Caenorhabditis elegans: one gene and its partner. The protein of the gene in region 1 interacts with the protein of each later gene in a biochemical or structural test. Each region holds a gene or a part of one and is shown on either strand. Other genes may lie near its edges.

What was found.
Region 2: the proteins of pdfr-1 (region 1) and pdf-1 interact in a test that uses a peptide from one of them, tested with the Caenorhabditis elegans proteins (one large-scale study listed by BioGRID).

The regions. Positions count from the first base shown.
Region 1 is NC_003281.10:6,647,765-6,652,814, forward strand, and holds the start of pdfr-1 (Calcitonin receptor-like protein 1), read right to left. Parts: upstream 3,262-5,050; 5' UTR 3,205-3,261; intron 1-3,204. UniProt on the Caenorhabditis elegans protein: G-protein coupled receptor for PDF neuropeptides. Plays a role in responses to environmental signals, including chemicals and touch, and in modulating locomotory behaviors. Capable of transducing signals via an adenylate cyclase acy-1 cAMP-dependent pathway.
Region 2 is NC_003281.10:6,909,012-6,914,199, forward strand, and holds pdf-1 (Pigment dispersing factor homolog pdf-1), read right to left. Parts: upstream 3,255-5,188; 5' UTR 3,189-3,254; coding exon 3,099-3,188; intron 2,056-3,098; coding exon 1,952-2,055; intron 1,149-1,951; coding exon 1,076-1,148; 3' UTR 1,075-1,075; intron 1,028-1,074; 3' UTR 579-1,027; downstream 1-578. UniProt on the Caenorhabditis elegans protein: Probable ligand of isoforms a and b of the calcitonin receptor-like protein, pdfr-1, a G-protein coupled receptor. May not signal through isoform c of pdfr-1.

The DNA of each region.
Region 1 (5,050 bases):
AAAATTCAATTTAGTTGCGGAAAAGGGCAAACTCAATCAAAATAATTCAACAATTTTCGGATTTTGAAAATTTTTGCTAGGGGTTCGGTTTACAGTCTGCACTATTCTCGTTTTGGGTTTAAATTCCAAGGAAGCACAAAGTTTGTTCAATGTATGTAATTATCATTTTAATTTAGAAAATTAACTGAAAAGTTATTAAGCACTTTGGCAATGGGCAGGTATTTTCGAGTTTCAAAAGCTTCTTTTCTGGTCAGCAAAGTACTTGGAAAACTTTTTCTGCGTAAAAAGGTTTCAGATTGCAAAACAGGAAACGATTATGGAAAAGTGACTGGGAGAAGGCTAAGAAATTTATAAAAAAAAACCATTCCCCCCATGTGTGTTCTGAATTTCTGCCTTGATGCCGAGCTGGTCGCGATAGCCAGTCAAATGCACTCACCAAACCACATCGGGAATAGCATCCGAAGGGGGCTTTAACCATGCGGGTTTGACTCAACTAGCTAGAGAGGAGCACCGGCGGATGTATCATCATCATCCGACCGCTCGCGCCAGATGGCTCCGAAACCGGTTTATCCAGGTAAGAAACTCATAACCTACATGGGTGTCCAACTCCATGTTGACCGCCCAGTATAGTGGGTTGGGGATCCACCACTGGGGTCAAGCCGGAAAGAAGTCTAAGAGAGAACTGGCGGTTGCGGAGTGCCATGCAAGAACGAGAGATAAGCGGTGTGAACGATATAACACGAGAAGTTACCATGAAACCCCCTTTATTAGCTCGAAAGAATATAGAAAGAAGGGGAACTGTCGATAAGGGAATAGTTTAACGTGTCATTAGCGGATGTTAGCGTCTTCCGTATAGGAAGATTGCTATACAAGTCACTAAAGCGGGTGATAAACTATTAAGGGAATAAATAAAGATAAATAATTATAAAAGAAGAACGATCCGCAGGAGCGGTGACGAGACGAGTGAAGGGAGTTGAGTCGAAACTAATTTAGGCCAGCGAATTAGGACGAGCAAGGAGGGCGCGCGGTGAGACCCGCGGCGCACACTCGCTGCGAGACCATTGAGCTTGGCGGGAGATTCAAATGAGGGCGCGCATTAGATTAGAGAAAGGGGGAGATAGAGCGACTGGAAGGAGCGGTTTATAGGTTTTCTGGTACGGCGAACACGATGGGAGTATTCGCGAGTGTCTCAGAGTACCAGATAATTGGGAGATGGGACCATCTCACAACAGATCATAGAAAATTTATATATTTTATATCTAATCATGGTGCATATTCAGATGAGATATAAAAGTGTTCTGGAACAGAGTACTAATAATTTTTGCTTATCTCAAGTGGAATGTTTTAACTGATCGTAAAATAAATCATGGCCGAAAATGGTACCATTTTTCATCTCTAGGAACTCTGTTCCGTGTTTTTCATATTTTTTAACTGCACTAAAGATCAGGTCATGTAGTTGTAGTACGGAGTACACTTCAAAATTCTCATAGTGCATCCTTTTTATGGTTCTTCATGAAACCCTGCTATTTTGGTCTAGATTAATATTGCAAAAAATAGTTGTAGAACTTCAGATTGAAAACCCAGATTCTCTTGCGTTTCAGACAATCTACATCGACGAGGCGTCGACGCATCTAACCCGCCTCTTTCATCGCCACCCTCGCGCCCTTTCTGTCACTTTCACTGGAAAAGTACGTTTTACTGTATTTTCTAATTTTTTTAATACATGGATTTTAAAATTTTTTATAATATATTATAACCCACTGGAACCATGTAGACGATATTTGAAAATTAAAATGTATAAAATTGAAAAAGTTTTGTGAATTTTTTATTCCCGATATTTCAAGTTTGGAAGGAAATTCTAAAGACTTTTCATCTAGTTTCAAGGCTATGGTCATTATCAAGTAGATGGAACAAGAAAGTTTCAAGAAGTCTTTAAGGAAACATGAATGAGTGGTCCATCATTAAAGTGAATAGAAAGAAGGAAAAGCATCAGAAGACATTAGTTTATATCAAACATCCATCACGTGACTCTACAGATCTCATTCTTCCCTTCCTCTTTTCACTTCAATGAAGAAGAGCAAGATAAAACTGACGTCTTCAGCTTTTATCCTGATGAAATTCTTGATTCTTCAAGACTTTCTTAGATTCTCTTTGAATCCGACGAGTCATTTCTTCAGAAATAGTGAAAATATTGAGAAAAACAGAAAAAGGAAGGCGACCGTGAATTTTTAAGTTTTTGTTTCAAGACTTAAGTTAAATTTAAGAATTCAAGATTGCAAACTGCTGAAAATCTCTAGAATCCTAGAGTGTTTAGAAACACCAAAAGAAGAAACAACAAGACTCGCTGGGGCAGGAAAAGATATGGAAAATTGCTCTGGCCCAATTTATTTTATTTTTGCTCTTTCTCTCTTTCTCCCTATATTTTTTTTAACAGCGGGGGCAGCGTGGGTATCCTCTGGAGAGTAGAAACACAGACAACTACCCTTCTGAAAATGTTCATTTTTTCAAGGGAAAAGGATTCTGCAGAATAGGTTACAGGAATTGAATGAGAAAGGTCATAAGGTTTTTGTTTTACAAGAAAAGATTAAGCTTTAGAATAGTACTACTATCATTAATCAACATTAAAAAGTATTCAAATACCAAATCTCCAAAAAAGTTGGGAGGTTAAGGAAGGCAGGTAGGTAGATTGCAGGAACGTATACAGGAAAATTTAAATGTTTACCATATAAGGTTTAGTTTTGATAACGAATCGTATCATCTTCAAAAAATAAAAACATGGTTCATCGATTTTCTATAAACTTCAATATGTTCTATTTTTACAGTTTTTTGATAATTCGGTTGTGAGGAGCTAATACATATGAAAGCAAAACTGAACAGACAAAAAACATAGCAAATGTTCCGGAAAACTGAGAAAATCTAAAAATATCAAGTTGGTCTGAAAATAGCATTTGTAAAAATTCAATTAATACGAAAATAACAATCCAAGAAAAATGAATTGTCTAGACCCATTCAAGGTCGTTTATTCTTTCAAACGTTTTTTGGAATCCCTAATTTTCAACTTCAATAAAATATTTGCAAAAATCATGGGAAATGCGAAAGAGTATAAACAAAATGAACTTTAAATAATGACTAACAAGAAGAAAATAATTAAAGAGCGGAAGAACATGTGTAATCCAAAATAAATCTGATAATTGGTCGACTTACCATTTTTCAATTCGACGTTTGACCAATTCTTCGTTGTCTTGTTTTCACTGGTCTTACCTGAAAAATCAAAATTATTTATTTTAATTTCCAAAGCAAATATGAAAAAAAACTGCGGCGCGGAACAAGAAACGTACTCGAAGAGGTGATTGGATGAAAGGAGAAAAAGTTTAACCAACGTGAAAACCCGGGGCCATGAATTGGATTCGAGTTCGTCTTCTACTTCTCCAAGATGATTGGATTTTTCAAGTGGATTGCTGCTCAACGAGGAAATAGGCACAAAAAACTCGTTGGAGTTTCCCACACACAATTTGATTAGATATGGGACGATCATATTTGTGATGATGGTGGAAATGTGCAAAGTCAAGTTTGATTAGTTATGGAACACCTTCTGTTCCTTCGGAGATGAAAAACTCAGAAATTATTGAAAACAAGTAGATTGAAGTAGAAATAGTGGAAGTTGAAGACATCTAAAACATCACCAGATTTTTTTTGTGATTTTTCTTCAATATCTTAAACTAGAAAAAGAAGTTTAAAGGTTTATAAAGCTCCACAACTGTACAGTTAATGTAAGGTTTTAGGGGACGCACGATATTCAGTTCTAATTTGAAATTGAGTTGTCTCGTTTTATACAATTATTTAAGGACACATCTTACTGTATCAATGCTTTAAATTCACATGACATTTAATGCCAAATGTATAGAAGTTAAATTCAAACAGAATGCGTAGAAAAAACTTAAAACTACTCTAACTGGACTAAAAATTATCACTGAAACTCTACAACTGAAACCGAAAAGCCAAACTTTACCTTGACATTATTTCACATATTACTTTTTTTTGGAATAAAAAGGTTTGCAACATTATTATTTATTTGAAACCAAGATTAGCTCAAAATCTTTGGAATGCATAAAATATTATAGGTTCTAAGAAAGTGTACCGCAATATTCGCCCAAGAATAGAATCAAACATTCAATTAATAACATTCAAGCAAGTCATAAATTGTGTTTTCTTGTTGTTGTCAAGAAAACTTGCTCCGACATACATAAAAAAGAGCCTTTGGGGGCAATAAAGCTGAATAATTAGGTGAACGCACGACATAATTTTACTTTTAAAAGATTGAATGATAATAAATAAGGACGATGAAAGAGAGTGAAGAATATTTTCTGGCTTTTATGGAAATTAGGTTCTCCAGAAACAAGGACATACAGAGATGGAGAGAATTAGTTTTTTGCAGGAAGAGAAAGATGGAGAGCAAGAAAATGTAAGATTTCTGTGAAAAAGTTTGTGTGAGAAAAGAGATAGGTCATGTGTAGGAAGAGGTAATCAAAATGCAAATGTGTCGAAAAACGTGAAAAAGAAAGTTTCTCTGGGTGATTTTTGATGGCTTCAATCGTTTTTCAAGTGAAGACAGATAGAGAAAAGTGGAAAAATAGTTTTAGAGACTCGGTAATCGTGAAAATAAGAAGTTTAAAAATTAATCATTCATTTTATGTACCGTTTAAAAATTTTGAATTGAACGAAACCTCGCGAAACAAGACATTTGCATTTTGAGAGAAAAATCTGAGTCTTCTGTGTAAGCACTGTTGCAATTACATGAGATCAGCCATAAAACTTAAGCAGTTGTGTAATATTACAAATTTATTCTGATAAGTTGTTAGTTTTCCTTCAGAATTTGTGTGTGTTAATTCATCCATTCAAATAAAGAATTTAGAAGCCCTACTCTCAATCCGAAAAATTCAATTTCCCCCATCATTCGGAGAAATCCTGATTATGGGAATTTGACTTTTTGTGAAAAACTAGAGTTTAGCAATTGTTTTTTTTCCGAATGAGTAATGCCAAGTATTTATTT
Region 2 (5,188 bases), 260 kb from region 1:
ATTCTCAATTTAATATTGCAACTTACTCATTCAACCTTTTCATCATTAGTTTTATGATTTCCAATGAACAGATTAAGAAAATTCAAGCCACTTTTCACGCTTCAGCACTAGAAAGTTTCTAGTAGAAATATATTCAAACAATAAACTTCCAAATCAGTTAGTTGTCCCTGGATCTCTAGATAACGCTTGAGACAATTGTTTTAAGTTCATATTTTTGAAAGTAAAAACTTATCTAGTTTTTTAGAACTGTGATATACTCAAAAATGAACCCACAAAAATCTTTTTTGCCTATTAAAAAGGACTTTTGCGAAGTTTTTCAATTTCGATTTCAGCTCGTTGAAAACTTTGAAAATCTTCATAGGAAAAAAACTTAGAACAATTGTTTAAGAAACACTTTTTTCTTCCGTTGGTATTTAAATTAATTGAAACATTTGTTATGCTGAACATAATATCTTTAAAAAATTTCACAATTCAAGAAAAATCTATAGTCTATCTTGGCAAATTATTCTACAACTACCTTGAGAAATTATCATTATCAAATTTGTATCATGTTCGAGTGTGATTTAAAAGTCAAAGCAAAGAAAAGTAATGTAACTAAAATTTAGTAGATTATTTTGTAAAAAGTAGAAAAACCAAGAAAATTTCATAACTTCCTGCTTCCTGTTCAGTTGAAAACGACAATTTAAATAAATATAGATAGAATATAAAGACACACACACAAAAAATAACACGACGAAACAAAAAGATTTTCGAAGATCTTTTCTTCACAGAGTACACATTTTTCATATCGGAAAAGGTTATGTCACACACACAAACAATGACAGTTTAGAAAATTATCAGAGAGGTTTTTGTTGGTGGAGGAGGGGGAGGAGTTGGTTCAAAAAACAAACAGACTAGGAACTGATTGGAGAAGGTTTTTGAGAAGGAAAAGATGAAGAAGATGACGATGAGCAGAACAGAATCGCATGTCAGAGCAGATGAGCGCAATAAAACCAATCGATAATCAAAACGAGGACCATAAATGTTTCTGAAAATTTTCGAGATTAAAATGGGATTCAGAAATATCAAGTGTACCTCATCGTCGACCAGCTCCAGACAATTTGTTGAGGTTCATGCTGAGAAGACCGTTGATAAGTTCCGCGTTTGAGCTGCAATGAAAACATGAGAAATTCACTGGACCAAGAAAACATGTGTTTTGAATCGTAAAAAAGACTAGTTTAACTGATGCCATAGCTTCAGTTTAGCGCTCATACGTAACTGTACGCAAGGCTGATAAGTTATGGTATAACTTATGAACCAATACTTTTTGGGCAGGTTCAAACTGAGCAGATCAGAAATCAATATAAAAAATGACTCATACTCTCTTGATTGAAAAACGTTAGAATTCATAATTAAAAGTACCGAAAATTTGTGAAAAATATGCTCGAATTAGAAGTTCTGTCTTCATTCTTACCTGCATACATACTTACTTACCTACCATTTTTGGCGTTTGCCTAGGGCAGTTAAGCGTATTTCTCATTTTCATTTTTAAATGTATTTTATTTCAATTTAAACATACAGTCCTAAAGGTAGGCATACTCCACACCTGCCTACCTACATGCCTAACCAGTGGCATTTGTCCTCATTTCAATTATCTTGTTGAAAATTCAACTGAGAAATAAAAATATTTTCTTTGGCAGTAGGCATAAGGTAGGCAGGTGTAGATCGATTGGAAAATGGTAATTTTGGTGTCAGATGTCAATATGTTCAAATTGAGTTAAATCAATTTCACAAAAAAGTTTATAATTGAATGCTATAACGTTTTGGTTCAGTATGAGAGCATTTCTCTAACTTTTTAATATTTAGAAAGAATTATAATAAACAAATTTGTATTTTTTCAGCTAATTATAAATAGATCTACTTTTAAACCGTGGAGGTACCAGGTTAAACAAACGAATGATAAAAAACTAACCGTTTTCCGACAGCTGACAATTTTCCCAAATCCATTCCGATGAGTCCGTTGATAAGCTCGGCGTTGCTGCGTTTTACGAACTGAACATCATCGTACATCTGATACTATAAAAACATGGATTTCTTTTTCATCAAAAAGCTTACCCTTACTCTCTTCAAATTCCGTTATAGGACTTTGATGATGCTACTCTATTTTTCTCCTTTTTTTTCTATTTTAAAATCAAATTTCACGTCATTTTGCACAACAAAATTGTGATGTTCCACTACTACATTGTTCTTTGCCGTAAATACTATTTTATTCTATGCACTTTTAGTAGTGTGATTTTTCTTTTTTTTTCCAATTTCACAACAAAAAACATAGAAAACCACCCACCAAGGGGTCAACGGATGTTCGTCAGTTTCCGAGGCATCTAATCAAGACAGAGGATAGGTTTTTGGCTTCTTTAGTGCTTTTCTTGTGAATCTTTGATTTTTGTTTGATTTTGAAAAGTCAAATTATCATCGGATGATTGAATTCTATAGAATAAGAACACTTTTTTTTAATTCTGCAGGTTTTGATGATACCTTCTGACACCAAACTAATAAAGGCAGTCAAGCTCGAAATGTATTGACACTGCTGACTGCGTTCCAAGGCAGGCACATCTTGCGTTCGTTGCCTGGTTCACGTCGCGTGCCTACTGGGCAGGCAATTCGGCTAATGTAGGTGTCATTTCAGAGAAGGTTTACCTGCCTTGTAGGAACGAAAGAAGGAATTTTCATACTCTCCCAGCGTGCCTACTGTACTGGGCAGGCACAGCTCTCCTGGACCTTCGCAGTGACTCGACGAAAATTTTGGTTCATGGCAAAAAAAGAAAAAGTATGTTTCTCTGTTAGGCAAGTATGCGGACATCTTTTGTCTGCCGAGGCTTAGGAAATATTTATTTGAAAGCCAAACATTTTAATCATGACCTAGCTATCATTTTATAAGTTCTTAATATTACTGTCTTAAACTAACTGAACCTGTGTTCTTGGGCACTATGATTTTTTGAGCATTTTCTTTGAAAACACTGAGAAATCTAACTTTCTTGGACGGTCAAGTAAATTGACTTGATCACAGAAGTTTCATATTTATTAAACCAGTTTGAAAACCCAAAACTCTAAAATCTAACCTGTGGAGCTCTGTATAAAAGAGGTGAAGCTGTAGATACAGCACAGAAGACAGCCAAAAGGGCAATCATTGAAATGATGAATCTGTTCATGTTGACGTTGAGTGAAGAAGGAAGAGGAAGAGCTGGAAAAGCTTGTTCACTTGGCTGTGAGGCACAAGTCGAATAGAATGAATGAGCACAACCGAGAGAGAGACAGATCTCTCTAGTTTTAGACTCCGCCTCTCTTCGACCCGCGCACCAAGAGGGAGCAACACGCCCACTTTTAAAACGCCCCGGAACCCGAGGTGAAAATATGACGGAAATTTGAGAGAAATAGAGAGAAAAGGAGATTGAAAAGTTTGAATTCGGAAGAAAGAAAAATGTCTGAATCATGTCGACGTCACTAGTGGGATAATCTTAATGAGATTGAGGAAAAACTTGCAAAAAATCAACTGCGACCTCAGGAATAGGAGTGCTCCATGCCAGACAAGGAAAGCTGAAGACTTGAAATCTTCAAAGGAGGAAGGTTGCACAGTTTTTGGCCATGAACTTATCAATTTTCAATCGACTGCGGTAAACTTTGATGAGTTTCAACAAACTTTCGAAAATACATCATGTTATCGATAAACTCTTCAAAAATCAGGAAAGTTTGTATAACCTGGAAAATCACAAGGAAGAAACAAAAAGTATCCAACATTTCAACAATTCAACAAAGATCTGCCACCGGATCGTATTCATATTTTGAGTTTTGAGTAGAAAATTTGCTTTCTTGAAAGTCTAAACTTTTTACATTTACAAGATATATATGATCATTAAAACATTCTAGCTTTCTACTGTTTCCATGTTTTTCCTCTACAAAGTTGTTCAATTCTTGAAACAAAATTCCTAGAGGCGAGACCTTGAAAAAATCAACAAACCTGCTATGCATAATTCATGTCGTATATACCATTAAAAATTACAGGTGAAATTTAATTCTCCGTTCTTCACATTTTCCGTCATTTTCATGGGAATTATTTTCAGATTGACACGAACTCTGACCACAAACAAAGCGGTTTCAAAGAATTCCCTAATCCTTTTTTCCTTTTCCCCTGCCTCTTCTGTTTAAGTCTAATTAACTAGAATCAAAGCATTGACAAATCAATGGGAGAGTTTTTAGTGAGCAATGATGAAATAAACAGAGATTTTATTTTGGGTGTACAATAGATTTTATGAACAAGAAGTTTTATGAAAGTTTCAAAAAGAGATCGTCAAGTATCTTCAATCTTAAAAAAAATATTTGGTGAGAGTGTTTAATTCAGAAAGTCTTAAACAGGTTTGCGTAGCAAAATTCACTTGTTTTTACAGCTTTTTGTTACCTGAGTCTAGTCAGCTCGTGCCGAGGTATAGTATTTTCTACACCAACATATTTTGCCTTCCACTTACACACTTACACACGTTTGGCTTATTGATACAAAAGAACGCCTTGAGAAACTAGAAAATATTTTGAAAATGTCGAAGGTCAAAAATAAATTCTCAGAAATATAGAGTCACTGGAATATTCAATACTGGAGAAAGAGGATTTCCTTTAGAAGTTACTTGTTTTGAAAACAAAATTAGTTTTTTATAAAACCTTATTCTTTGTCAAATTCTCAAGGAAAAATAATTTAAAACCATTTTTTGAACTTTTTAAACTTTTTAAACCGTTTGAAAAAAGGGGCGCTTTTTGAGCATTCAAGATGATTATTGTAGCTGGACAGGTTATGGGAATGTTCTCGATGGGCGGTCCTAACATTCATACATGAAAATTCTCAGCTACCGTACCCGTGAGTACGGTAAATTTAGTTGAGCTTGAAGTTTTCTAGAAGATCAAGGAGCAATACTATCTGGGAGTTTCCGAAAGATAAATGACGAGATACAAATGTCCGTTTTCCCATTTTTAATATTTAATGTAAAATTAATGGACATGATGATTCTTCGTCAACTCGGGAAGCCTCAATGAAAAAAAAAGGAGGAAGTAGGCGTGGAGAAGGAAGAGAGGTCATGTACAAGTTTCAGATGAAATTTAAATTACTAGAGAGAAAGATAGATATATTGTTTTGGTCTGCTAGTTTCGCGGGGAATTCCTTTGGTCC